Linked DNA regions of Nothobranchius furzeri. Each later gene encodes a partner of the first gene's protein in a complex. Links are inferred from orthologs where the notes say so. Each region holds a gene or a part of one and is shown on either strand. Other genes may lie near its edges. The genes, in order: timm50, timm17b, timm17a and timm21.

What was found.
Region 2: timm50 (region 1) and timm17b share a complex: the UniProt entries of both Homo sapiens proteins name them as parts of the TIM23 complex. The link is inferred for Nothobranchius furzeri from reciprocal best matches to the Homo sapiens genes TIMM50 and TIMM17B.
Region 3: timm50 (region 1) and timm17a share a complex: the UniProt entries of both Homo sapiens proteins name them as parts of the TIM23 complex. The link is inferred for Nothobranchius furzeri from reciprocal best matches to the Homo sapiens genes TIMM50 and TIMM17A.
Region 4: timm50 (region 1) and timm21 share a complex: the UniProt entries of both Homo sapiens proteins name them as parts of the TIM23 complex. The link is inferred for Nothobranchius furzeri from reciprocal best matches to the Homo sapiens genes TIMM50 and TIMM21.

Annotation. Positions count from the first base shown.
Region 1 is NC_091753.1:57,196,448-57,203,895, forward strand, and holds the start of timm50 (mitochondrial import inner membrane translocase subunit TIM50), read right to left. Parts: upstream 4,441-7,448; 5' UTR 4,423-4,440; coding exon of another isoform or gene 4,405-4,422; coding exon 4,201-4,404; intron 2,977-4,200; coding exon 2,820-2,976; intron 1-2,819. Other genes in the region: clip3 (CAP-Gly domain-containing linker protein 3), read left to right, coding at 4,385-4,422. UniProt on the Homo sapiens protein: Essential component of the TIM23 complex, a complex that mediates the translocation of transit peptide-containing proteins across the mitochondrial inner membrane. Has some phosphatase activity in vitro; however such activity may not be relevant in vivo.
Region 2 is NC_091755.1:41,958,758-41,966,407, reverse strand, and holds timm17b (mitochondrial import inner membrane translocase subunit Tim17-B), read left to right. Parts: upstream 1-3,537; 5' UTR 3,538-3,595; coding exon 3,596-3,621; intron 3,622-4,046; exon of another isoform or gene 4,047-4,155; intron 4,156-4,610; coding exon 4,611-4,710; intron 4,711-4,780; coding exon 4,781-4,844; intron 4,845-4,941; coding exon 4,942-5,070; intron 5,071-5,143; coding exon 5,144-5,254; intron 5,255-5,439; coding exon 5,440-5,501; 3' UTR 5,502-6,910; downstream 6,911-7,650. Other genes in the region: gpkow (G-patch domain and KOW motifs-containing protein), read left to right, coding at 186-271, 340-462; pqbp1 (polyglutamine-binding protein 1), read right to left, coding at 778-928, 1,875-1,932, 2,016-2,216, 2,315-2,415, 2,602-2,713, 2,807-2,873. UniProt on the Homo sapiens protein: Essential component of the TIM23 complex, a complex that mediates the translocation of transit peptide-containing proteins across the mitochondrial inner membrane.
Region 3 is NC_091743.1:60,934,161-60,941,559, reverse strand, and holds the start of timm17a (mitochondrial import inner membrane translocase subunit Tim17-A), read left to right. Parts: upstream 1-3,448; 5' UTR 3,449-3,522; coding exon 3,523-3,548; intron 3,549-5,274; coding exon 5,275-5,374; intron 5,375-6,386; coding exon 6,387-6,450; intron 6,451-7,399. UniProt on the Homo sapiens protein: Essential component of the TIM23 complex, a complex that mediates the translocation of transit peptide-containing proteins across the mitochondrial inner membrane.
Region 4 is NC_091747.1:54,071,036-54,077,903, forward strand, and holds timm21 (mitochondrial import inner membrane translocase subunit Tim21), read left to right. Parts: upstream 1-3,417; 5' UTR 3,418-3,606; coding exon 3,607-3,898; intron 3,899-4,020; coding exon 4,021-4,083; intron 4,084-4,189; coding exon 4,190-4,287; intron 4,288-4,371; coding exon 4,372-4,445; intron 4,446-4,523; coding exon 4,524-4,629; intron 4,630-4,754; coding exon 4,755-4,847; 3' UTR 4,848-4,910; downstream 4,911-6,868. UniProt on the Homo sapiens protein: Participates in the translocation of transit peptide-containing proteins across the mitochondrial inner membrane.

The DNA.
Region 1 (7,448 bases):
TCCCCCTGAGCCTGAGATCAGTGGACTCGGTGGTCTCCTTTAAACTCACCTGTTCAGGCTGGTTTTGGTGTGACCTTCATCACCCTCTCCTTATTCTGCCTTTTCTCTCTCTCTCTCTCTCTCTCTCTCTCTCTCTCTCTCTCTCTCTCTCTCTCTCTCTCTCTCTCTCTCTCTCTCTCTCTCTCTCTCTCTCTCTCTCTCTCTCTCTCTCTCTCTCTCTCTCTCTCTCTCTCTCTCTCTCTCTCTCTCTCTCTCTCTCTCTCTCTCTCTCTCTCTCTCTCTCTCTCTCTCTCTCTCTCTCTCTCTCTCTCTCTCTCTCTCTCTCTCTCTCTCTCTCTCTCTCTGCATTTTTAATCAAAATTGTGTATTTTGCTTATTTTAAACACATTTTTAGACATTTTCTAAATTCTTTTTTATATTTAAAATTTTTGATTTTGTGAAGCGCCTCGTGATTTTTATCTTGAGAGGCGCTATAGAAAAGATTATTTTCTTTCTTGCTTTCTTTTCTTTTTAAAGTCAAACAAAAATCGTCCAACACCAATGTATAAAAAATGGAAAATGTCGGCCCAATATATCGGTCTACCTGCGTTCATTACAACATTACATGAGGCGGCACGGACTCCTTGGTACACTCGACATCCCAAGCTGCCTTTATTCATTAACAACAAGGTAAATGTGGTTTTAAATTCTTAAGACATCTTTTAAATAACGATCGTTACATTTTGAAATCTGCGGCTGCTGAGTTGTTTAATTAATCATTTTATAATTACAACTTCATAGGTTAATAATTATGGTTAATGTAATGAATAAATAAATAAATGGCATTTATGTCAAAGATTTGATGAATAGAGGACTTTTTTAAAACTTTGTTGCGTCATCAGGTTGTTTTTCAATCCTCAAGAATGCTAGGACATTCCCAGAGAGTAGAGCAGAGAGTCAAGTATGGGAGGACGAGGACATGATTTGGAGCAGAACGTCCTCTGTTGTCTCATGGCAACAAGCAGTTAAAAAATGACCTGATGTGATTGTAACTGACCGTGTTAATGGTCCATTCATTTGCATTTCATGGGTTACAAATGTTATTCCTTATTTTACTGTATAACACGGATGATGCTTTTATTTTGAAGGAACGGCTTTTATTGTTGAAAGAACAGAGCAACAAGCTGCCGTAAATCAGTGTCGCAAACCGCACAGCAGCGGGAAAACTCCATGGAGGTAAACGGAAGGTGTTAAAGGAAATTACGGTTTATAAGGTTTATTTCTTAAACACCTGCGATGGTTTGAGCTCCTTGTTGATGAGGAACATGGTGGGTTTTGAATGTTGAATCGTAAATGTGTATATGTTTGAACATTTATGTTGTAGGGTGTTCTGCTGAGTAAAAAGGACTCTTTTGTCCACTAGAAGGTGCTAAAGAATACAGATAAGTTAAGCATGTTAAAAGGTAATGATTTATTAACTGCTTTATTTTATGTGTCATGTAAGGTCACAGACGTGATTTACTTTATTTTATTTCATGTTTCAAAGAGGTTTAAAAGCATTGTTAAATGGTTTAATTTAATACACATGTATGGGTAATCTATGTAGAAAATGCCAACAAAAGGATGTTACAACTTAAAGGGACTTTACAGAGTTTTTAATTTTTATGCTCACGATCGCCCCCTCAGGCCAAAAGCGTTAACGGCAGCTTCAATAGTAGGCTCGTGCACGAGGCGCGCATGCTGTACGTGCACACTCCTTAACGAAAATAACAGCTGAGACAGTCCCGTGTGTGTGTGTGTGTGTGTGGCCCGGAGGACAGGGGAACACGCTAGGGCTGGGCAATCATATGATCGCACTTTGTGATCACGATCATTTTCAGTTCAATTACGGTGATCAGCTGGGAGTCTCGATCAGAAATAACAGATGTGTGCAGCCTCAGTAGGGGGCGCTAACACTCCATGCGCGTTGGTTGCCCACTGCCATTTAACAAAAAGAAGAAGCATTTGCAATTACACTTTTCCTGCTCCGCTACTTCGAGGAAGAGGTTTAATAAGCAGAATGGCCAAACGTGGAGCTGAAAACAGCGAAGTAGATCCCAGTCATGACTCGGAGTTGTCTTCTGGAGATGATGACATTGTTCAGAAGAAAAGTTACTCAACGTCAGTAGTGTGGCGGTGGTTCGGGTATCTCAAAAGTGACGTTGAGCCTGAACCCGCCGATGTGGGAGGAGTCTCTCTCTCCCCACTCAACTGCGCCCCCGCTGTGTGTGGAAAACTAAAATGGAAGATAACCTGCAACTCAGTCAGCTGTGGAATTGGGCTCGGCTCTGGACAGTATACCCCACCCCCTCCCCCGCGCTGCCTGTTGCCGCCACCATAACACACGGGGAAACCCCGGATGTTACATCAGTCAAAAACGCAAAAACCGCAGCTTTGACGGTCACGTGATCGTTAGGGATGCAACGATACCACTTTTTTCCAAACTGATACCGATACTTGGATCTGAGTACTCGCCGATACCGATACAGATACTTCTACCACACAAAAAAATTAAATGAATTGGAATACAGGTTTTATTTTCTTCTGTTTTCAATAGGAAAAGACTGTAAGGTAGATAAAAAGTAATATAAGTGATTACAAAACTAAAATATTAGGTGAACAGAAATGACAAGTTAAAGTGAAGTCAAGTCAAGTCAAGCAACTGCATTGGTATCATTTACTGGTATCGGTTAACTTTTACCGATACCGATACCAGTATTGTATCGGTGCATCCCTAGTGATCGTGCTGTTTGAAATCACGATTTCGGTCCAAAAACGAAAAATCGTTCAGCCCTACTCACCAAAGATGTAGACAACGCTGACCGCTCCGCCAAGGCCTAGGAGTCCCGCCAACCGCAGCACCATTTTTTTTGCATAGGCCATGTTCTCCTTCTGTTTCTTGTCATCTGTTTGCTCTCCTTCCTTCTTGCTCTGACCTTCTTCTGTAGGTGGCTGGCCCTGGAAAAACAAACAATAACAATAGATATTTCATTTGAAGTCAAAGCAGATCACCATGACACGTGGGGTCCCCCCAAGGATCAATTCTCGGACCACTGCTCTTCAATCTCTACATGCTCCCCCTGGGCCAGGTCATACAATAACAACATTACCTATCATAGTTATGCAGATGACACCCAGATCTACCTAGCTCTATCACATAGTGACTGTGGTCCTCTCCACTCACACCGCCAGTGTTTGGAGCAGGTTAATGACTGGATGCAGTCAAACTTCCTCCAGTTAAAGACACGACTGAAGTTCTTGTCTTTGGAAATCTGAAGGATAGGATGGAGGTTATTGATCGACTTGTCTCCGGAGGAATAAAGACCCAGGTTAGAATCTTGGTGACATAATTAGGGATGCGTGATATATCGGCATCGATGTCGGTATCGGCCGATGCCATGTCGTGTTGGTTTTAATGTTCTTGCTATTCTTGCTAATGGAAAAGCATATTGAACTGCCTCTGTGTGTGAAATGTGCTATAAAAATAAAGCTGCCTTGCCTTGAAGTCTGATTACAAGTCAAAGCTGTGATGCTGCACTGAGACACGTTAGCTGGACCTCTTGTTACCTCCAAAAATGATATTAAGCACCAAACAAAAAGATTTAATTCAACAAATGTTGTCCTTAATCTGGTGGGTCAACCAGGATTAGCGCCTTTGACCAGGTGAAATCACAGATTTGCAGATGATACAAAAATAAAAGCCTGAACAGGTGAGTATTTTTACAATACAGCCAGAAAATAAATAAAACTTCTGACAGAGCCACCGTTTATGAGGGCAATGGGATCTCAAACACTGATGGATGGGTACTCTAACATCCCGGAGATGTTTGGCATGAGTTAGAGGAGAGAAGAAGGTCCTGTTCTGTCCTTCTAGCCTAAAGCACCTTGACTGTTATTTTTCTAACAGAATGAAGCTTGGCTGAAGTCAGTATGAGAGAGGACGCAGCATTTTACCTGCAGACCCCACGATTACGGTCACGCACAGCTACAGCAACACATAAAACCAACGAGCAATAATATAAACCCTCCCGTGGAGAAACCTGCACAGGTAACGCTTAGCCGTCCGTGGCTAGATGTAGCTTCGGTTTGATATAATGGGGATTCTCGGAAGGGCGGAGTCATGACTTAAACGTACAAACTGCACTGCCTTCGCCGCTGGACAGAAAACCGAGCGCACCTCACCTGGCTCTGGTGCTGCTGGAGTCGCTCCTGGAGGATAGCCTGAGCTAGTCCGCTCGTCGCGCCGCGCGGTCCGCCAGACGGCTCGTCTGTGGAGAGTGTCCGGATGATATCCATCGCTGCCAGCCTGGAAGCACCTACCGCTCCGTTGCTGAGCCTCAGGAGGCCGTGACTCGCTCGGACACACATGGGGAACACAGCCGACATCTTGGATTGTAGCAGCCGGTGAGCGTGTGACGCAAGACTGAAAGACAAAGATCTGCGATTGGTTTGGCTCGCGTTGACGGACCAGTACACTGTCCAATCAGAAACGGAGTTGTCCACGTGGTTAAAAGAAGGGCGGTGCTTAGTAAATTTAGACCAATCAGAAGTGAAAATGAGTCTGACCTTCGGATGCGACACAAAACCACCATGACGGTTGGTGGCAAATTCGCCCTAGTCAAATGGGACTTTGTAGGTAGTTTGTGAGGTAGCGAGCCGCCATCTTGGATGGGTCATTATTTGCCCCCGTGCAACTATATCTACGGAGAAACTATAAACCTACTAAAACAAACCTTTTATTATGCTTTTTCATTAAGTCAGACGCATGGTATGGCATGATAAATAAAATGTAAATATAAACAAAATGAATGAAAATATAAAATCCCAAAAGGAAGGCTAGAAAAGTCTATATTAATCCCACGTGGTCTGTTTTCAACAGTGCGCCAGGTGTTGCAACCACTCTGTGTTTATGGTTGCAACCGTAGGCTGCACCAAAAACAGGCATAGTTCCCCACTCTTAGTTTGGAAAGTGCGGAACCCATCCAATATGGCGGCAATGCTGTTACTCTCTCCAGCGCCCAGTGGTGCAGTTTACGTATTCGTATGGGTGTGGGCGTCACCAGTAGACAAGCGGAATGGTTCTTTTACAAGGATTCAGTTCTCATCTTTTAATCTGAAAAGCCGAACGAAAGATTCAGTTTGTTAGTGAATGTCACATCTGTGTTAAAGGATCACTTTGCAGCTTTGGCCTGATTTTAACATGGAAACGTGAGATTACAGGAGGCCTGAATCTGACTGAGACTGGTAACCCTAAGGAAACCACCATCACAATCAGGTGATTGTGGTGGGTTCTCCACAGTTGGACTGAATACAGAAAAACAATCAGAACAAAGACTAAAGCTCCTAAGCTTGTAGATCCTCCTTCAGGAACTCAGGAATCATCTTCTGTTTGACACCATCATGGTTCTGGAGGAGTTCTGCTCCATTCTTCTTAAAGGTTGCTGACATTCAGCTCTTTGAAGGTCCTAAGTCTGGTTCGGGTCTGGACACTGACTGGACCTCTCCAACATCTTGATTCTGTTGTAGATCTGCTTCCATGTTCTGGATCATGATTATCTTTTATGACCCAGTTTGAGATGATCTCCAGCTGTCAGACAGATGGTTTCACATTAGAATCTAAGAGGCTTTGGTATCCAGAAGAGTTCATGGTGGATTTAATGAGTCCTGTTGGGTCGGAACCAGTCCAAACCATCAGCCCTCCACCACCGTGCTGACTGCTGGGATCAGCTGTTTGTGCTGTCATGCATTATGGGTAAACATCTATTTAATGGGACATCGTTCCAGAAACATTCTTGTTCATCCAGATAACAACCTAAGTTGAGCTGTCACAACTTTTAACAGAAAGAACTCAGGAGGTAGAGCAGGCTGTAATCTGAAGGTTGCAGATTAGATCTAACCCTAACTCTAACCAAGACACCTAACCCACCTGGTGCCTGCTGGTGGTGGTCTGAAGGACAGGTGGTTCCAGTGTATGGCATGCCTTACCTCTGTCAGTGCGCCTGAGGGCAGCTGTGGTTTCATTGTAGCTCATCATCAGCAGTGTGTGAATGTGTGGATGACTAATTGTGTTTTGAAGCACCTTAGGAGGTTGTAAAACCCTAAGAGGGCGTTATAGAAACTGATAATTTGGACAGGTCAGCTCTGCTCTTCATGTCAGATACGCAGTTTCCATCTTTTAATCAGAACATCAGGGTCCTGCAGTTCTGATCATGTGACTACTGTATCCTGGAATAAAAGCTGCTCATAGATATGTTTCATTTATAGTCAGTTTGTTGTGTGGGATTTTTTTTTTCAAATTTTATTTTATTTTATTTATCCAATTTTGTGTTAGTGCATGTTGATGAGGTGTATTCCATGGCTGTGGTGAGAGGGCAGTGCGGGCATCATCTGACCTACGCCAGCTGATGCCACCGCACCACCCCACTTACACCCTCAGCCATCAGTGTCTAAGTGCGGTTTAAAATTGGAAGTGGGCACCGGCACTCGGGATGAGGCTGAAAAATCCCCCTGCCAAATGCCGTTGAATGTGCTCACTTCCGAGGCCCTAAGTGTGTGTTTGCGTGGAATGTCGCTGGTGGAAGTGTTTAAGGTGCAAATAAAATTGGGGGGCTGGTTGCCACAGGAATGCGGAAATGGGGTCCATGCCCGCACCCCCTGACTTGTCCACCCCCCATGGTCCTATGTGTATGTTTGTGCGATGATGTGAGGGAGCAGGAGGAGAGAAATGTTTGGGGATGGGGAGGAATGGCCTGTTGGACTTGAGCCCTCCAGGGAGCCAGCTCCCCCACTGGCCCCAATAGGCACCTCTGTTGCCAAAATGCCACCCAGCCCATCCTGCCAGGGCCCAAAGCAGCAGCATCACAGAGCCTCACGGAGTCTGAGGGCACCAACCCAGCCCCATCCCAGCAGAATATCTACTCTCATCCCTGCATTTGCACAACTTCCAGAATATATGACATAGGACATCCAGGAAAGGTTGGGTCCTCCCCCTCCTGGACACCCCCTCCCCTGTGATGGGACAGCAGAGGAGCCAAGGTCTACCCGAGGCCCCTGAGCCCGGGCCAGGCACTGCCGCATGTTCTTGCCTTCTTCTTGGCAGCATCTGGGCCCGACCCACAAGGTCTCGCCCAGATCCCCACATGAGGCCGGCCACGCCCACACCCCGAGCCCCAAGGTCCCCACCCAGACCCGCCCAGGAGCAATGCACAGAAAGTTTATCCTGCATGCAGAGAAAAATCTAACAAAACAGCCAGAAGCTTCTGTTTGTTTGCACGAGGATGCTGAATGATGTCCACCAGATGTTACACTTTAAACACACACACACACACACACACACACACACACACACACAAAGCGTAGAGAAACGCTTCCTAAAGAAGCATGGGGTTGGCTGATAAACTAATGGTTACGTGGTGAAACGGAAGGGGTTA
Region 2 (7,650 bases), on another chromosome or scaffold:
TTAGGATTTGACTAGAACGGCTCTAACCCTTTAGGGTGACATGCATTCCTGCAGGGATGCTGGGACTTTTAGTGGGAGACTAATCGGTGCCTTGCAGAGAAGCATAAGATGTCATTGTGCAGGTAATTAGTGTTCATGTAATTATCTCCTGGCTGCTGCCATGGTAACCGTTTTAACTGTGCCAGATGTGAAGCAGGACATGCTGGAAACCATCGTCCCTAAAGGCGAGTACGACTCTGTGATGGTTGTGCTGGGGGAGAACAGGGGCCAGGTGAGCAGATGATCCTTACTGGTTGTGTAATCATAACCGTCGCTGACCAGCTTCTCTGGCTTGATCAGGTGGGCCGGATTCTTCAGCGGGACAAGAACAAGTGCAGAGCCACGGTCCAGCTGGACAGATGCGAGGAGGAGCTGTTCACGCTGGATTACGACTGCATTTGTCACTACGTAGGAGACCACTGAAGCCTGGTCCTTCGCCTCGTCTTAAGTGTTGCTTTTCTAATGATGGACAGTATTTTAACACTTTGGAATTTTTAATAAAACCTTGGAAAAGTGTTTGTGCAGGCGTTCTTACAGTTACGACGAGCCCCAGCAGATGCTTTTCTCACCAGAGTAAGAACTGATTATGTTAACTGGTGGTTCTAGTAACAACATGAAATCCATTTTATTATAAAACATATTTACAACAAGTTTGATCTCTAAAATGTCAGCATGCGACATCACGTCTAACAACAAGAGGTGTGCGCAGGACGCAGAGCGTCTCCGTGGGAGCGCTTCTCATTCCTTGGGCGGTTGGTTGGCAGCGTTGGCCCGCAGCACCGCGCCTGGACTCGGGTACGGCCGCTGCTGGAACAGCGGGCCGGCGGCTGTGGTGTCTGCACCGGTTTTGGCCTCGTTGCGTTTGGGAAGACCACTCGACCAAGAGCCCCTGTGGAAAACAGTTCAGCAGACCTTTAGAGTGGGCCAGCTTGTTTGCTAACGCCTGGTTGTTTAGCTAGCGCTAGAGCCGTTTCAGCTGGTTAACTTGACCGTTTCGTGTATTCAGCAGACGCGTTTGTCCAGAGTGACTCACAAATGAGCGTTTTTACACACAACACAAATGTGTTGGGCTGTTCTGCAAAAAAAACCTAAAGTTCTGACTTCAGTCGACAGGACAAACCACAGAACCCGATCCCTTTAGTACCCGTTTCAGCCAGAAGCCTTCCAGGAATCCACTTGTTGAAAACTACAAATTTTATTCCTGCAAGTGTGCATTAGTGGCATTTCCATAGATGCGGCTAAAGACGCCATCACTATAAAGCCAGGCGTTGAGTTTTGAATAAATAATATGTAAAGAAAGTTGTAATAATGGGTCAAGGTGACAGGTGCAGCTTTTCCAAAACACGGGATTTAGCTGAATTTAAAGCCTAGACTGCAGAAAGCTTGGCCGAAAGAAAAATGATACTAATGAAAGTAGAACGACTACTTTAGAAGACCCCGAGGCTAAAACTGTATAAATCACATGTTTGATTCAAGTAGCTTTAAAGACGTAAATAAAAACATGATCATGCACCAGAGTTCAGTTCCGGCGGGTCCAGCCCAGAGGGTGAAACCGGAGGAGAGGGACTGCAGCGTGTGACTCAGAAAACTGCAGCCACCTCGCTCCCATGAGGTTTCAGAGCCACGTGACTTGGCGCCTGCTTTGCAGTGCCAGCAGCAGTCGTCCAAAGTTTCTACCCAGCATGCATCATGTTACACCGCTGCTGCAGTGCTGTGCATTCAATTAAAGACTTAAATGTCTGCTTTGTTCTTTAACTTACAAAGCTGAAGCTGACATGTAACTGAGTGGAATGACGACAGGGGTAATTTCCTGCCTGCTGCTTGTTTTACTTTACCTGGGAGCATCAGAATAAGCGCTGGGGTCCATGGGGTCCATCTCGTCATCCTTTCTTCCTGCAAACACGATCAGATTTTAACTGTTATTGTATCACAGATAAAGCTTTAACGTGAAAACGAAAGACTTCTGTAAGCATCACCTCTTTTGTTCTTGTTGTATGGTGCCATGTCGTCCCTCCTTTGCTTTCTTCTGTCTCTGTCCCGCCCATCATCTCTGTCCCTGTCTCTGTCCCGATCTCTTTCTCTTTCCCGGTCCCTATCCCTGTCTCTGTCCCTTTCCCGTTCTCTCTCTCTGTCTGGCTTCTCAAACGGTCGCTCTCCTCTTTCATCTCCCAAATCAGCTAAAAACAAATAATAATGCAATTTCTGTGAAAAACATTCCTCGTTTCTTTTTTAAAGACACTTATGCAAAACTGGCGAGTTTAGTTTTTAAACCCACCTTTCATTTTCTTGGCAGCTTTTGTTATCACAGACGAGGGGTCATTTGGGGACAGCCAGGCGACTAGATCCGTCTCAACATTCCAGTAGTAAGGAAGACCACTGAGGGTGGCAGGAAATCAGGAAGAGAAGGCTAATCAGCTTACATACTAAACATGTAAAAGAGACCCAATGACATCGCTTTGTGAATTCACTGGAAAGCTTCATCTGGACTGCAAACACCCAAACACAAGCGCACTGGAGGTAAAACTACCAAAGAACCGTAGATAACCAGTACAGTGTACGTACCAAGCTGGATCAAACACTTTGTACCAGTTTGGAGGAAGATTCTCTGCTCTGGTGGCTTCATAATCTACATTATTGTCATCATAATCTTCGGCAATAATCTCCTCATCTGCACCTGTTATTAAAGGAGAAAATACTGTTACACGACATACGTGTAAAGTCACAGAGAAGGATGCATGGAGCCAGCGTGTTCAAGCCAAATGAGAACCTCGTTCTGTTGGTTTAACGATCCCCCTCTTGGCCAAGCGGGCCAGCAGAGCTGGAGGAAGAGGCATCCTGAAAAACACGAGATGCTGTCACAACAGTCACCTCGAACATCTGTACATGAGGTCAGTGGTTTCATAAATCCACAGCAAAGATACAGAAAATTTACTTGTTTCTCATGTGTTCTGATATTTAAAGTATACAGCCTCAATTATACACAACGGGGTTTATCCCAATAAACAAAACGTCTCTTTACTGCCAAATTACGTACAAAAACGAGTTAATTTATAACAAATAAACATCTGAACAGAAACCTTTCAGATAAAACATTGTAATGAAATATGGAGAACATAAAGCTCCCAACAGCACACGCAGTAAAAGGCGTCGGGCTTTCAATACAATTTGAATAAATGCTGTTCTTACGTTTTCAGTTGAAGTTATGTTCAACATTTGAGTTGTGTTATTTTTAAAGACTTTAACTACAGATGTAGAAACAGTCTGACATTCGTAAAATCTGCATTTATTTGCACGAACAACAAACGTTTACCCGAAGGCTAACCCTGTTAGCAACCGCTGGATGATTAAATCAACAAGCAGACTGCGTAAGTACTTCCATGCCCGGAAGGAACGAAAATCTGAACGTTTACGCTTCAAAACGGGATCCGAACAGGAACAAGTTTACCTGAGATAAAGAAATTCACCCAATAGCAGAGAAAATGATGTTAGCACCGCCAACGCACTAGTAGCGCCGGTCGCACGTGTATGACGTCACAACGTCTAGACGAAAACAAACATGGAGGAATATGTCCGCGAACCTTGGTAAGATTAGTTTGTCTTTAACTGTAAACTAAATACGGCTAACATACATACCAGTGTTGGTTTTTCTAGTGAAACATAAACATGTGAGAGAACAGAGACGCGTTGTGAGTTCTGCTGTCAATCCACGTATATATACGTGCTTACGTTCAATGCAATTCAAAAATACTTTATTAATCCCAGAGGAAATTGATTGCTGTAGTAGCTCAGAATAATAATAATAAACAAGTCATCAAAGAGTTGTTGTATATTACAATGGCTGTTGGCAGGAAGGATCTCCAGTAGCGGTCAGTGTTGCAGCCAAACTGAAGAAGCCTCTGACTGAAGACACTCTTCCGTTGTCGGACAGTCTTGTGAAGAGAACGCTCAGGGTTGTCCATAATTTTCTTGATTCTCTGGAGAATCCTCCTTTGCATTTTCTCCTCCAGCGGTTCCGAAACTGCCGAAACTCTGGCTGAGTCCTTGAAAGGGCTTGGAGTTCCTCCATCTTGTTGGCCAGTGATCTCACATTGCCCGTTATGATCGATGGAAGAGACGGTTTGAATTTCCTCTTTCTCTGTCTCCGTTTTGCTCCCGCTCTGCACCCACGCTTCTTGCGTTTTAGCTCATTTGGGATTTGTGGCTTCAGTTGAGGTATTATTTCAGCCTTTCCAATGTTAATCAGCTGCTCCCGATTGTAAACCAGCTTGTTGCCATGGTTACGCATCATAACAAATGCTCAAAAAGTGTAAAAAGCTAAAAAATAGCAGTAAAAATCCTCCAAGCTTCACAGCACCAGAAACAGAAAAGTAGTGTCCAAAAAAATACCGTTTCTCTTGAGAAACTAGAAGAAAAAATGCCCAAGAAAAGGCAAAACTTACATATAGTCAACAGAGCTACTCCAACATGCAGCCACCCAGAGCAGCGCAGTTCCGTTGACGTCTGTATCCTGATCTGACTGTATATCTTGTATTTTGACGGTGTCTTGTGTGTCCTCCCCTAACCTCCTGCAGCCCCTGGAGGATTGTGGACGACTGTGGAGGAGCTTTCTCCATGGGTGTCATCGGTGGAGGGGTGTTCCAGGCCATCAAGGGCTTCCGAAATGCCCCTGCTGTGAGTTTAAAACAGACTAGTTTGACTTGACTTCTTGGAAGCCTTTATAAACCTGTCTGTAACATTTCAGGGTGTTGGACACAGACTAAGAGGAAGTGCAAAGGCAGTGAGAGTGAGGGCCCCACAGATTGGAGGTTTGACCCGTTGCTGCTCTGCTCCTCACACACCACTGAAGGATTTTGGTCCCTTTCTCTAAACTGAGCTTCAGCACTGACGTGCTTCTTCTACCAGGTAGCTTTGCCGTATGGGGAGGTCTCTTCTCTACGATTGACTGTGGCTTGGTTCGCCTGAGAGGGAAAGAAGACCCGTGGAACTCTATAACAAGTGGTGCGCTGACTGGAGCCATTCTAGCAGCACGCAGTGAGGATAACACTCAACAACCAAACACTAGACAGGAACTCAGTAACTCACCAAATGTTTTGGTTTGCCTCAGGTGGGCCGTTGACCATGATGGGCTCGGCCATGATGGGCGGGGTTTTACTCGCTCTCATAGAAGGTTTTGGCATTCTCCTAACCAGATACACAGCCCAGCAGTTTCAGAACCGTGAGTGCCTTTCCCGTCTCTGTAATATACACCAGGTGCTCAAACTGAACACCTGCAGACATCTTTAAACCACTTTTGGGTTTTAGTTAAGCCATCTGTCGTTTGAAACCGATAACCAGTAGGATACTTGCAGCACGTCCAAGAAAAGCCTGACAAGTTCACTTCTTTCTGCTTGTTGTCTCCAGCCGTTCCCTTTGCAGAGGACCCCAGTCAGCTTCCTCCGAAGGACGGAGGGCCCCCCCCATAGCCAGCAGCAGGGCCCAAAAGGGCTGTTCCAGTAGAGGGTTGAGTCCAGCTGTAGACCAGAGCAGCAATGCCCTTAGGACTTGGCTGTAGAACCTCAGGGTCAGTGTTTAAATGTTTACGTGCGAGAGTTGTCGCTGTCGTCTTTATGCTTAAATATCTAGTTTGAGTTTCACATAAATGCTTTCATTATTCATAATGATTTAAACACGTATGTTTAAAACATGGGGAGAACATGTTTGGTCTCTTCTGGAGTCCGCGTGGAAACACGAGCTCTCAGCGTAAAACCCTCCTGTCTCCACTGTCTGGATGAGCTGATGTCGCTGGCCCGAGACTGCTGGCAGCCACACAGGCGGAGCGTGAATGTGGACAGGGTCGTGTGGAGCTTATTTACCGCAGTGATGCTAATTTTCTTGTTGTCTTAATGTTCTTTGATTTGACTCCAGATTTATTAATGGACCCTTTGTAAAATGGTCTCATACTGCTGAATGGACGAAGGTTCCAGACATCAGCAGCAAGACGTCTGTTATTATTTTGGGACAAACGCTTGTTAGGACCTGTTCAGAATGGCAGCAACACGAGACAAGGACAATGAGAATCCTTGGAAATTCCCTCTTGATTTGAAAAGGCGCCCCCAGCAGTCACAGATAGCCCAGTGAGAGCCCAGATGCACGCTCATTCACAGCCGCGCTTGCATCACGTTTGAGGATCTCGCTAGAAGACTAGGTCTTTCCTGGAAGAGGTTTGCAGGAAGCTCAGCTCTTACTCGAGTTCCCACACGCTGGTCCTCCTGAACATCTCTGCAGCCTTTTAAAGCTGCAGTTTGTTTGTGAAACCTAGTAAAAGACCAGTGGCTGAAGCCAGCAGTCAACACGCTCCTCTCCAAGACCTGCATGGTGGGGAAACCATTTGCTTGTTTTGTTTCTTCTGTAGGAAAAGTCTTCAGAAAAAGCCTGTAAGCGTAACTCTTACTGATCAAACCACTCGTTTCCTCCGGAGCTGGTGTTGTAGAGTCCAGCAGGCTCAGAGGACACACGTAATCAGGTGCATTTGTGACATTTTGTTCTGTGTGCTCAGCGGATTTTACCCTGAAGAGTTTGTTTTTTCTTCTTCTTCTGTTTAAATGTCAGCGGTGACAGTCACCGCTAACCAGAGCTAGTGCTTCGCTCCTGCTCTTAAGGTGGAATTTGCGTTTCCACACGTGAGATCTGTAACCGTTTGGTTAGAAAAGAAATCAAATAAGATGTCAGCAATGTAAAAATGAAACGTTCTGATGTGAGTTGGCTCACTCTGCTCTGGAACGGCTGCTGATTTTCTTCCGAACTGTAAACAGAGACTATGTTTATTTTATCTAAATATATTTATTGTACAAATATTTAATGAACAATAAAGTTCCAATATATTATTCGATAATGTATTAGTGGTTGTACTTTTGCTAACCTCACACCTGTTCTAGTTTAGGACGTTTAACGTTTTCTAGAGAAATGACAGAATGAAAGTGACCCCTGATGCTGGTTTGTGTCCTCAGTGAAGATTAGCAGAAAAGCTTCTTGCTCACTTGTTGTTGTTGTCAGGTAGGAAGGTCCAGCTCCGTTTCTAACCCAGGATACTGCTGAAGGGGTTTCCATGTGAATAATCTTTATTTTCTGACGATCAAGCCACGTCTGCGTGCGTCTGAAAAACTAGACCTTTGCCTAACTCAACGAGTGTTCCTGTGATATGAAGCCTCACAGGACTGGAGCTTTAGTGGTCTTCCCTCAGAGCCTGGATCTTCTTCTGGTGTCTGTAGAGACCAGCCACCATCTCTATCGATGGTCATCCTTTGGAAGATTCTGTTTGAAAACTCAAGACAAACTGTCCGTGTGCAGCTTCGACTCATCTCATACAACTCCACACTCAGCCGAAGCAGCCAAGAAGGGCTTCTGACACGTTTCTGACTTGACTCTTGTTCAGGTTCTGACTAAAGCCTCAGAGTGATGTGAAGGAAGAAGCCCCCACCCCCCACACACACCCACACACACACACACACACACACACAGGGCAGCACAGGGAGACTAAATCCTCTCAGAAACCAACAGTCCTCAATAAAAAGCTACATTTGTTTGTTTATGTGACGCCTTTCATGGGAGGAAAATCCTAAAATGCTACACAGG
Region 3 (7,399 bases), on another chromosome or scaffold:
CCGTGTCTGATGGAGCCTGTATGCCTTTAATAAAAGATGTTGGTATGTTTGTGAGTGAACATTGGACTTGTTCATCATGTGTATAAATATATATATATATATGTATATATATTTATTTATTTGTTTGATAAAGAATGATAGCTTAGCGGCTGGTTTATGTTCTGATCCACTGTGTACATTCCTCCTCAGATCTAGGTGTTGCTTGGAAAGCCAAACAACCACAGTGCTATATTAGACTCACGCCCATACATAACAACTGATCTGCAACACAAATTACCATTTGAAGTATTTTTTGTACTTTATGTGAATCTGGAGTTTTCTTTTTTCAAATAATCATGCAGATTTGGGATTTATTAAAGTCATGAACCCAATTTCAGTACTGTAATTGAACATTTTGGAGAGACGACACATCCAACACACACTTTTAGAAATTAAATGTTGAATTTACTTAACCCTTTGATGCATAATGGTCACTACAGTGGACAGGTACTCAAAATTGTTATTTATTTATTTTTGCTATTAAGCACAGATGTTGAAGACTTTATTGCATTTGAGCCCCTCCATTTGGACTTCAGTAAGTCAAGCCAACATATTTCATGTTCAGAATGCACGCTGTCCACTGAGGTGGACATGTAATAAACCATGTGTAAATTATTAAATGTTACAAAAAATATTTGTTGAAATTTGTTTCATTCACACCTAAAGATGAAAGAAAAAAATTGCTAAAAAAATCATGGTTGAGGATTTCATCATTAATGCATCACAGGGCTAAGCAAGTTGTGTCGACTGGTTTCACTAAACCAATGAAAAGAGTAATACACACATTTCTTTTAAATGTAAAGTAAAACAATTAGCAATTGCAGAAAATATTGATATTATGTGTTTTGATACTGAATCATTAATGTGTAAGGATTTTTTATCAACAGTTTTCATGCAACTAATTTAGTTTCTGCATAGAGTCTATTTTTTCCAGATGCCACATGCGGTTTGTCAGGAAGCTAAAGAACTGACATGAGCCAGACAGGAAGTGAGACATGTTTTCAGCAAGGGGCATCCACCATCCAGTATTTTTCAAAATAAACCTGTGCTGCATTGTTTTTTCCGGCTTTTGCTTTATTATTAATGACAGAGATATCGGTTCACAGCAGGGACGTAGTATTTTTTGGGGGGGGGGGGGGGGGTCCCCTTCTTTTTCCAAAGTCATTTTTTGTCCTCTGCACTTTTTAACCATCCAAAAACAAAATTACACTATTCTAAATAGACACGGGTGGAGCACTAGGACCAAGCAGAAAACAACCGTTTGTGTTGAAGCTCATTTCCCATTAGAACCTACAGTAAAGATACCCCCCCTTCCCAAGTGTTCATGCCGGTTGTGTGTCCCCCACTTCTAAAGTCAAAACTACGTCCATGGCTCAGAGTGTATGATGGTTGATGAGCATTTTGTTTAACATCTCCTCTCCGTTCATGTAGTTGTTATTGCATCAACTCACCATTAAATTTATGGAGAGTTGGGAGTTTTCCTCTCCACTGTCGCTTTATGCTTGCTTAGTATGAGGATTGCTGTATAGTCACTGACACTAGTAAGTGACTTGATGCAATTTGCTGGGTTCCTTATATAGGAAAAATTATTTCAGATTGGCTTAATGAACTGTCCTGAATTGGAATGTTTATTATGTGAAGTACCTTGAGACGACTCTTGTCGTGATTTGGCGCTATACAAATAAACTTGAATTGAATTGAATTGAATTGAATTGAATTGAATTGAATGGAGATGTTCCAAACATGATGTGCAGTCAGTGTGAATGGCAGTCCACCTGGAAGCCATACGAAAATGAACCACACACATTGTTTGTGTAAACATGGCCTTACTCCTTATTCACACAGAGTGCAGAATTGTTCCATAAACTCAACTTTTCAATTTTTAAAGTGGAGATTTTCTTTCATGTGTTCTACTTGATGCTGTTCATGTGAAGCTGCATGGCAACTCTGGCTGAAAAGGTAACCATCATCTGAGCATACTCAGACATGGAAAAGGGGAGCATGAGCATTACCAGCAACTGTTTATCTCTCCAAACCCTGCTTCAGCCTCTGCTTCCATATTTGGTCATTTCTCAATGAGAGTTTGCTTTGCAAGTCATTCCTTTCCCCCTTTCTAATAATGGGCTGCATGCCAGCTGTCTGTCTCTTGGCTGTAGCTGCTCCTCTGACCAGCAGCGTCAGTCTCTGATGGAGAAAAACAGGAGAGGGAATGAAAACATTCCGTTAAATGCTTTAACACTAACACACGGGCTTGCAGAAAAATTATGTCAACGTTTAAAAGCAGAAAAGAACTTTAATAGTACCAACTTGCGGTTTATAAGAAGTTTGTATTACAGTTTTTTTAAATGCCTGGAACATTCATTTAACCATTTTTTATGAAACAAAGAACAAAGTGGATTTTTTTCCACAGCTTTACCCTGTCAAATCAGGAAAACTTGAAGGTATTAAAGCTGCTTTAAGAAACTTGGAAAACAAATTAGCTTAAAACATTTTTTCATCCCTTTTTACAATCTTCTAACATAGTATGGCTATAAAATATTATGTAGTAAAAAGGGTGGCTTTTCTGAGGAAAATAGCATATAAAACATTTTTTCAGTTATTTAATCTTTTTTAGTTAAGTACATAACTCCACATGTGTTCATTTGTAGTTTTGATGCCTTCAGTGAGAGTCTACCAACGTACAGTAAATGGTCATGAAAAATAAAGAAAACATATTGAATGAGAAGTTGTATCCAATCTTTTAGCCTGTACTTTACACACACACATATGTGTGTGTGTGTGTGTGTGTGTGTGTATATATATATATATATATATATATATATATATATATATATATATATATATATATATATAGAGAGAGAGAGAGAGAGAGAGAGAGAGAGAGAGGGGGTCATATGAAAATTGTTACATCTATAAAACAACATTGGAGAAAACAGAGCATGAACATGGAGCATGAATGTGACACTGTCAGAAATCTTTCCGTGAATCTTTGTTCCGTTTGGTATAATCCTAAAAGAGAAAAACTGCATTGTTTTTATAAACAATCTTATCTTTACAAAGTATTATTAGTATATAGACCTACATACATGTACATATGCCTAGTCTCACCCAATGGCGTTTAAAAATTATCTTCCGTTTTACAAAAATGTTTGAAACTAATTCTCTTGCAATTAGGCTTTACACATTCATAGGACAACTTAATTTTTATCGATTTCCTTCTATTTAGTATTTGTTTTTCTACTGGTTTGGTATTCCATGTTTGTTTCATTTGTACTTTGTACCTCTTTTTATTTTCGCCCTTATGTGTTTTAATATATATGTCACTACAAGGTTTTGCTTCTCTTTTAATTTAGTGTCTTGAAGGAGCGTGATTAAAGTCCTGTGTTGAAAATTTGTCATTGTTCATTTTTTTTCAATAAAGTTTTTCTTTTTTAAGGAAGAAGTGACGTTACGTTACGTCAGTGGTAACAGCTAAAGAACAAAATGGAGGAATATGCCAGAGAGCCGTGGTAAGTTTCAAAATAACGATAAATGTTACAGTTTACGTTGTTTTAATAAAATTAGCCAATTTTATCTAATTTAAAATGAGCATTGCATTTAGTTTTCATCTTTATATTTATTGTTAAAGCTTGTGGCACATCCCGATACACCTGGAAAAAAAAATACCGGCTGGCCAATTTAGCTCAAATGCTAATTTCTCCTTGAGTTTAATGGGCTTTTGTGCTAGCATCAGAACGGAAAGGCTAAATCACGTTGTTGGTGACCTTGCCGTTTTTCTCGTCCACATGTCATCAAAGTAAATTCAGGAACTGAAGTTACGCTTTGTGAATTATAAGTGTCACAGTTTATATTAATCACTAACAGCATTTATAAAAGTTATCGTCTTCAGATATTGTTAGGCTATTAGACATTGTTGATGTAGCTGTTAGCTCAGTTAGCCACCAGTGTGCTAACCATCCGGATATTACACAACTTGTAATTTAAGACAAAATCGTATGATCAGACATATACATATCAAACGTTCTGAGATACTCCTATTGAGTTATATTAAATATGCCTAACACTGGAACACCTTAGTTGTCTAGCTGGGTCATCTTTATAAAAACAGGTTTAACAAGAGATCATTTAAAATTTGACAAATGCTGTTTTATAGCAAGACATTTTGAGGGTTAAATTAGGTTAATGTTTGAAATCCAAGACAGGGAAAAATGCCTTTTAATCATTTCCAGTGAGAAGAAGTTGGCTTTATATGTCAGCTGTTAGTTTGCTGCTATTGAGTGTTTTAAAACTGTTTATGATGCTGCTTTGTTAATCCACTCATACAATGATCTCTCTCAATAACTGGGATCTTAGTATTGTAACACATGTAATTTGTTCATTTTTGTTCAGACAAAAATGTCAAAAAACATACTTTGACAGGTATGGCAGATTTGTAGAGTTTTTGTAAAGCTGAACATTTCTAAGTGTAGTAAATGAAGTGTAAGAAATGAGCTCAAAATTTCATCAGTCTTCAAATTGTGTGATGAGAGTTGCGTCATTCTTCAGGTGTTATTCTAAACCAAGTCCAGGTTCAAAGACTTGACTGAAAAAATAGTCTGACTGAATCAGACATGAAATTTTTTCAGAAAACTTTATTTTAGAAAAACTGCATGAAATTGGTTCTTGGATGTTAAATATAAATGAGTTGAAGAAAAACTTAGGGGGTTATCGCTCAATTTCTGTCATCTGTTTTCATAAGAGTGGTTACCAGAATTATTCAAACATCACATAAACAGAACAGTTTAAAAGACATAGTTATCAGTGTCTGTGTACTCTGTCACCAGACCTTTTGCTGTGTTTAATAATTCACATTTTGTTCCTCTTTGGTATAAATCAAACTCTTTTAAGCATTTCTATTTGTTGCACCTATCTCTATTTACAGTTCTGGCTGCAGGGCTAGGGATCGCTCATCTCAGTAAACTCTTCCCTAATTACATCTCTTTTTTCCCCCCCATAAAATTGACACAAAAAAGTTTTTTTCTTGAGGCTTCATAGTTTGTTTTAATCTCAATAGTTCTGTGTGTCCCGTATAGTAAATGCTACAGTTCCAATTAAGACTGTGTGTTTATTTGAACTTCAGCTTGGAAGCACACACTTCAAACATCATCCATGACTGTGTTGCATTTTAACACTAAAATAAAGTTTTCTTGAGACTTTTTTTAGATCAGAATTTTGAATTCTGTTTTTTACTTGTAGCCCCTGGAGGATTGTGGATGACTGTGGTGGAGCTTTCACCATGGGAGCTATTGGTGGAGGAATTTTTCAGGCTGTGAAAGGCTTCAGAAATGCACCTTCAGTAAGTTAACCAACAGTGTTTTACAGGGTTCCCTTTTACACACTCACATGAAGACTAGCCTTGACATTTAATGGCTTGGTCAAGGATGCTGGATGGGTCCAAATCCAGGGATAGTATCCTAGTAAGGACCTGGATTACCCGGTCTGTTGGGTTGGGCATCGATTGGAACCGGGACTAACCGTCAGTTTTTTCCAGAATCGTTCAGATTTAAGGCTGCTGACCGGAAGAAGAATCTGTTGTCGATCTCCGTGAAAAAAGCATGATATGCAAATTCTGATCAATGCCTTTCAGAGCCGATCATACCAGCTATCTGTCGGTCCTACTCGCAGCCCGCAGAGACCCTGAGAGCAGCATTGCGTCCCCCCTCCTTAGCCTCACACTGCGCAGGTGCGCAGCGGCTAAAATGTAAACAAACTTGTCTGCAGAACTTTTACTCTGTGATGTAAACTTTAATTCCTGCAGTGAAAAATGCATCGTGGAGGAAGCTCGTAAAAATGTGTTAACATAGTGGATTTAATGAAAATTTTGAAGAACAAACTCCAGGCAGTGTGAGGTGAGTTTGGCTTCCTGCAGAAATAAAAACACGGAGCATCAACAGTCAACTGCAGCCACTCACCAACACTCATCTGTGTGAGCGTGACCGTCGGAAGACTGAGCAAATTACCTAGAGCTAGATCAGCCGTTCTCTGTGGCGGATGACTGACACCGATTTCTAGCCACTAGTCTGTCCTTGATATTTGGGGAAAACAAGGACACATTTTGAGTTTCCTTCATATTTGGAAGGCCTTGTCACTTTTCTGTGGCATAATCAACCTTAAAATGTGGCCTTGAAAGGATGCAGCCTCTGGATTTATGCACAGCCCCATAAATGCAACTAGAGGGCTGTGGTCTGTGTTTATCTGAATCAGAAAAGTTGATTGTAGTTTTTAGATTTTTAATTGTATCGAGAAAATCACTTCAACTCCTGAGCTGAGAATCATTCAGCACTGATCCATGTTTCGTCCTTTTCCAGGGGATGAGTCACAGGATGAGGGGTAGTTTAACCGCCATCAAGACCAGAGCCCCACAACTAGGAGGTAAGAGAAAAAGAAGATCAGAAACAAGGGATGTATGGGTTAGGGTGTATTTGAACTTATGCAACTGAAGTGTTGAGGGCATTTTGACTACGTCTCCTGGCCTGGTTTGGTCATGTGAGCTGCAGATCTAAGGCTAAACTTTTATAAATTATCTCATGGGCAGACCACAACAAACCATCCCCAAACACGCTGCTGAAAGGACGAGGAACACTGCAAGGAACATACACTTCTGGAAGGTGTTACACGGTGCCTATGGCAACCAAATATATTTATAAAAAGTAATTTGTTCCCACTGCTGTAATGATCCTTTACCAGTGTAAATAAGCTCCAACCATAGTACACAGTGTCACAATGAGTGTATGTATTTATGAATGTTTTTTGGTCCTGGAGAGTCAAAGAAAAATGTCCACTGCGGTGTTCAATAAAGTTCTGTTCTATTCTACTTAGTTGATTAAATATAAGCAATGTACACACATGCTAAGCTAGGCTAATTGCTAAGCGTGATGCTAAGATGTGTGTAATAGTTGGTAATGTATTCTTTCCTTTTTTGTATATTGCACCTATGATGAAACATTTTTCAAAAATCTTCAGATGAGAAAAGCGAGCCTTGGAGGAAGATTCCTGTTTTGTTTTAGTGGTTTGCTAGCTGGCTAGCTACACATAGCTATGTGTAGCTAGCTGGCTAGCTACACATAGCTATGTGCTGTGAGGACAGCATATTTTCATTACACAGAGAAACATCCTACTTTTCCACAAGTTGAGTAAAATAAAAATAAAACTTCAGATCTGTGATATTTTGACATTTTGAGAGAGAAATAGCTACTAAAGAGTCAATGTATAATATGTGCATGGTATGAAGTTGGGTCACTAAAAGAGTAAAAATCAATACGGATATTTCATTTCAACTCCATTATCAGCTGGTATTAATGGTAGGCCGCATGTCAAACAT
Region 4 (6,868 bases), on another chromosome or scaffold:
CAGACTTACAGTAATAATGTTTTTATTTCTCTGCAGATACATCAGACAGATGCATCAGTCCACTGCATCTTGCCAAGTTTGACAGCATTTGGAGCTAAGCTTTTTCTCCCGTGTGCATCCTGAGTGAACTCTTCCCCTGATTACTGACGTAGAGTGCTGTGATGAGAATTAGATTTTTATTTTTTACATTTCTTAATAAGGTTTTTCTCCGTTGCCTTGGACGATGAAGGTGCATCCCGTGCTGCTCCACTCCTGGCTGGTGCTGACGACCACCTGAGCATTTGGTTATTTCAGACAGAAGGCGGAACGTTTGATATTTGAAAAATTATGGTACCTTTAATGTAAAACTACTCATAGAGGAGGGGAAAAAAACAGATTCAGGTTCTCAAATCATTTTCATGTGACCATCCGATCAGTGAGCGTACTGCTTATTTCACTTGTTTTCTACTTTGATGTCACACTCTCACAGTAGAGAATCAGGTTGCTTTTTATAAGAAAACAAATGATGGCAGAGAATATTTAAAATGAAATAAACTTGAAAAAAACTGAGTGTTTTCAATTTTATCAGCCCATCAACTAACATTTGTTTAATCACTCTTTTACTGATACCCTCTGATCTATGTTTAACACATTCACGACTATTTTTGTACATTTTTTAACATCCATGATAAGATTTATTTGAAATCATGAGAATAAAATGCTGGACTGAACATTTTAAATAAACTAATGTTTTCTGATTACGTTGTTACAACTCATTTCTTCCACATAAAGTTAGGTGGAGAAAGTAGATCTTCAAACTTTTATACAAGCCAAACAAATGAATGGGCAGGAAAGTGCCATTTAGCGAATACCCTCCTTATATCAGGGACGCTGGAAAAAAACTTTTTTTTCCTCTTGTGAATATTAATATTAAAGGTGTGGAACACTGAAAAATTATTTCATGCAGGCTGAACATGAAAATAGTCTCCTACACCTATCTCCTGCATTAGCTTCTGATAGACGGTGAAACTAGGATTTGAAAAGCCTGACAGATCTACGTCACATTGTCATTTAAAGAGACTGTGTGTAGTTTCCTGACGCTAGAAATCAGCAGAGAACGTCCCAGCTTGTAGAAGCTAACTGTTAGCCTTACCACCACATGGCAGAACTCCTCCATGTTTGAGTTAGTTCTGGAGAAAAAACATCCACGTTGCAAGTCAGTGGTATGTCGTGTAATGGTTATCCAATCCGAGGCGAGATGTCCAAATATCAGGAAATAAGACTCCAAAATTCAATTCAATTCAAAAATACTTTATTAATCCCAGAGGGAAAATGATTGCTGTAGTAGCTCAAAATAATAATAATAATCAAGTCATCAAAGAGTTATTGTATATTACAATGGCTGTTGGCAGGAAGGATCTCCAGTAGCGGTCAGTGTTGCAGCGAGTCAAAGGGTGGAGTCAAACACTGTTTCCATCATGGGAGAAGAAGTGGAGGTGGTTGAGGAATACAAATACCTTGGAGTTCACCTGGACAACAGACTGGACTGGAGAAAGAACAGTGAAGCTGTTTACAAGAAGGGACACAGCAGATTGCACTTCTTGAGGACGCTTAGGTCCTTCAATGTCTGTAGCAAGATGCTGCAAATCTTCTACACGTCTGTTGTTGAGAGTGTAATCTCTTCAGCCATCGTCTGTTGGGGTAGTTGCATCAGAAGCAGGGACCTGAAAAGGCTCAACAGCCTAATAACAAAGCTGGTTCTGTTCTGGGGACGACTGTGGAACCAGTGGAGGAGATTATGCAAAGAAGGATTCTCCAGAGAATCAAGAAAATGATGGACAACCCTGAGCATTCTCTTCACAAGACTGTCCGACAACAGAAGAGTGTCTTCAGTCAGAGGCTTCTTCAGTTTGGCTGCAACACTGACCGCTACCGGAGATCCTTCCTGCCAACAGCCATTGTAATATACAATAACTCTTTGATGACTTGATTATTATTATTATTATTCTGAGCTACTACAGCAATCAATTTCCCTCTGGGATTAATAAAGTATTTTTGAATTGAATTGAAACTGAAGAAGCCTCTGACTGAAGACACTCTTCTGTTGTCGGACAGTCTTGTGAAGAGAATGCTCAGGGTTGTCCTTAAGTTTCTTGATTCTCTGGAGAATCCTTCTTTACATTATCTCCTCCAGTGGTTCCGAAACTGCCGACACTCTGGCTGAGTCCTTGAAAGGGCTTGGAGTTCCTCCATCTTGTTGGCCAGTGATCTCACATTGCCCATTATGATCGATGGAAGAGATGGTTTGAATTTCCTCTTTCTCCATCTCCGTTTTGCTCCCGCTCTGCACCCACGCTTCTTGCGTTTTAGCTCATTTGGGATTTGTGGCTTCAGTTGAGGTATTATTTCAGCCTTTCCAATGTTAATCAGCTGCTATCGATTGTAAACCAGCTTGTTGCCATGGTTATGCATCATAACAAATGCTCAAAAAGTGAAAAAAGCTAAAAGAAATAGCAGTAAAAATCCTCCAAGCTTCACAGCACCAGAAACAGAAAAGTAAAGTGTCCAAAAAATACAGTTTTTCTTGAGAAACTATAAGAAAAAATGCCCAAGAAAAGACAAAACTTACATATAGTCAACAGAGCTACTCCAACATGCAGCCACCCAGAGCAGCGCAGTTCCGGAAAAGCCGCCGTTTGAAGCTCAGCTCTGATGTGGCTCACTTCTAGTTCCTGAAAATGGTGCGCCGGTGTTTTCTTTCCCCAGAGTATGACACACGAGATGTTTATTCCTACTAGAGACTACTGCAAATGTATTGATTAAATGAGGAAAGGGAAGAGGAGAATGGGGAACTGCACTTGTAAAGTTACAATAATTAGTACACTTCCTGTAAATTCTTCTCAGAAGTACCAGGATGTGAACGTTTCCTGCATCATGTAGATCGAACTCAGTCCTTCAGTCTATGGCTTTTAAGATTAAGGATATTTCCGTCCTCTGGAAGACAAAAACTGTTACTACAGTCAATGTTAATAAAGCTAAACAAGACCATACTCATTATTACTTCCTGTATGTTCTTTCAAAATAAAACATAGCATAGTTTAGTCCAGATAATGAGAAAGCCAGAACATCTTCTCTTATTCAAACTACTTAACTACTAAAACTCAATAAATATATCTAATGTATCTGTGTTTAACCAGATGGAATCAATGAGCTAAAGCAGGAAATATTAGCAGCTAGCTGAACATTTCAGATCTCTGCTCCATCTAACTTCTACTTACTGAAACAGAAGAGCAAATGTTTTACTTTTTTCTTCACAGAAAACGACTCACAAGGATTTACACAAGAGCCACCATAACAAATGGGGGGAAATGTTCCTGGTATTGCAAGCTTGTTGTTTCGTTTTTGTCCGGTAGGTGGAGGTAGTCCAAGCTGATTTGTTTACTCCTAATAAAGACAACAAAGAAGAAGCTACGCCATATTGGTGCGACCTAAACCAGCTTTGTTTGTGTGACATTAGCCGATTAATGTTCTATAATTAAACGTCACGGTGACATAATTATACACTATAGTAGGCCAGCCGCTGTAGTTTGTACTGCCGTTCACCTCAATGTGGGTTTATTGACAATAATGGCGTATCTTCACCCTTTAAAAGCCTTGTTACACCGAAGTCTGCAACACACAGCGGCAGCGCAAACATGTCAGTTGCGACTGTTAGCTCACGCGCGCAGGACTTTGTCCACAACACCAGGACTGGTCCTTCTCGGGACAGATAGTCCTCTGTCTGCGCTGAGTTGTCTCCGTGTGGCTGTGAGACCGCTCCACTGTTCAGCCAGAAACAGGAGCAGGCCAGAGGACGAGAACAAAGCGGCGGTGTCCAGGTATCAGCGCGCAAGCCCCAAAGCTTCAGCTTCCCAGAAGAGTAAGCTAATGCTAACGCTATGTTGCTATGCAGCACGGTACAAAATGCTGTAGGTTAGGGTTAGTTTATGCCAATTACTGCATGCTGTTGTTTACTAAAGTCTCATTGTGGGTGTCTTCCAGTAAAAGAAGCTGGTAAAGACTTCACCTACCTGATAGTTGTGATCATCGGACTGGGAGTGACAGGTGAGAGTAGCCAGACTGCAGAAACAAACGTGTGATTAGCAGCATATTTAATTTGATCTTACCCGCTGCTGTCAAAATAAATAAAAATGTGTGCGTTTGTGTTTAGGTGGACTGCTGTATGTGGTTTTCCAGGAGCTGTTTTCGTCCAAAAGCCCAAATAAAGTCTACGCAAAAGCTTTTGATAAAGTCAGGTCACACCCAGAGGTGAGAATGACAAATGATTTACTCTTTTGGCTCTTTTCAGTATAAAGTTACATGCACGGTGCTGTTTTTGATTTGAAAGTGCAGGTAATCGGGGCATTTGGCGAGCCAATCAAGTGCTACGGTGAGACCACCCGCAGAGGAAGGAGGCAGCATCTCAGGTACAAACTAAACTAGGCATAAAACTGTGTTTATTTGGGATTATGCTGTTTTTTAATCTGTTTTTGTTTTCGCCTCAGTCATCTGGAGTATCTGAAGGATGGACTGAAGCACTTGAGACTGAAGTTTTACATTGAAGGCTCCGAGCCAGGCCTGAAAGGAACTGTTCATTCAGAGTCGAAGGAGGTGTGTAGGTTTCTGATCTGCTCACACAATATCCATTTTATAATAGCTGGTATCAAATACTAAGAGCTGAGAGGAAAACTGCATCCATTGTCTTTTGATTTGTTGTCTTTGGTTTCTTACTTCAGAACCCAGAAACGGGGAAATATGAATTTCGTTATATATTCGTGGATCTAGATACCTACCCCAAACGGAGCATCATCATAGAGGACAACAGATGAGAACCCCTGCTGTTCACAATCTGCATTATTTAAATAAACAAGGCACTGGTCACTGGATTACAATCTTGTCCTTTTTAATTTGAAACTAATGTGTTAAATGACTCAACAAAGTCCAGTTTGTGTCCCTGCTTTAGACCTTTTGACCCCTCTTTATTGCTGATCTGTCCTAAAGTGTCCTTCAGGGGGGCTTTCTTTTTAAATAAACGCGGACTCTTCTGCTTGACTAAATTAAAAATTTTGGGCATTTCTTTTTGCAACATTTATCTACTTTCAAAAAATAGATCCATCCATCCATTTTCATCCGCTTATCCGGAGTCGGGTCGCGGGGGCAGTAGCCTAAGGCGAGAGGCCCAGACTTCCCTCTCCCCAACCACTTTGGCCAGCTCCTCCGGGGGAATCCCAAGGCGTTCCCTGGCCAGGTGAGAGACATAGTCACTCCACCGTGTCCTGGGTCTACCTTTAGGTCTCCTCCCGGTTGTACGTGCCCGGAAAACCTCACCAGGGAGGCGTCCAGGAGGCATCCTGACCAGATACCCGAGCCACCTCAACTGGCTCCTCTCGATGTGGAGGAGCAGCGGGTCTACTTCGAGCCCCTCCCGAATGACCAAGCTTTGGCAGAGCTGCCTCAGCCAACACAGCCCCACAACATCCAGAGCCTTAAGGAACTCCGGGCGGATCTCATCCACCCCTGGAGCCTTGCCACAGAGGAGCTTTTTAACCACCTCAGTGACCTCAGCACCAGAGTTGAGAGGCCAACCCAAAGTCCCCAGACTCTGCATTCTCACTGGAAGACGTATCGGTGGGATTGAGGAGGTCTTTGAAGTATTCTGCCCACCAATCCACAACGTCCTGAGTATGTTTGAAAGTTTTTTTGATGGGCTGAATGTTTCACTAGTGACCACTAGATGGAGACAGTCTTACAAAATATTGATTATAGTGGATAAACTCATATAATCCCTGGCATTAACCTAAATACATGTTTTTGAATTTTGACTTCTTAGGAAATGTCCACTAAAACTGGGACTGAGCTGGTCTTATTGGACTCAGGTGTCTCCAGTTCTTTTTGCTGTGTTCTTGTCACCGAGGTTCTCTCTGCTTCTGGATATCCTAAAGTTATAGAGCTTTATTTCTGCATGCCGGCTGGGTGATATAACAACAAAGTGGGAGACATGGACTGAGGTCTACAAGTTCACCCTAGAACCCTGGTGCCTGGAGGACTTCAGGGAGATGTGTCAGTACCACCAGACTTCTTGTTCCATTTTCTTCTGCAAGTTCCTCTGCATGATCCTCAAACCAGATGGGAGGGTTACTGACATCGGCCACAGGCTGATCCACCTCCAGGTTTCCATCAGAAGCAACTAGAGGTTTGGTGGAAACCACAACCAGGGACCTTCAGGAGATTCCTGCAGTTTTCAAGGATTTGTTTGGGAATATACTTCCATCACTTCTAAAACCAAAGGATGAGTCCATCACCCCTCCACCAGTCACATACTGACCCTACTTCTTCCATTACAATGGGAATCATCTAGAACTTTAATGTTTGAAATGTTTTTACTTCCTGATTTTAACAATTTCCATACAGAACAGAATACAACAGAAAAGAGAAACGGTCACTTTGATTTAATAAATTATACATATGGTTTAAAGATGTACAATGGTCAGTTATTCACAACTGTCCAATTTCGTAAGACAAAGTCTGTGTTCAGAGTATTTACACATGTACAATTAATCAGGCAGCACTTAAAGCAAGGCATGAGCGACAATACGGACGATGGATTAAGATCAAACCTTTACTTTATCTGCCTACACCGTTTGGTTGAAATAGAACTGGGCCGTCCCGCCATCAGGACTGTATGAGTTTCCCATCCCGTCTTCAGTGGGTGTGAAAGAGACTGAACACAATCCATCAAATCTACTATGATCCACAGAAGATTTAGTAGGATTACTCTATGAGGACTGAGCTGAAATCTAAGGATTGAGCAGAGAAGATGCAAACATGTGGCACACGCTGGAGGTGAGAA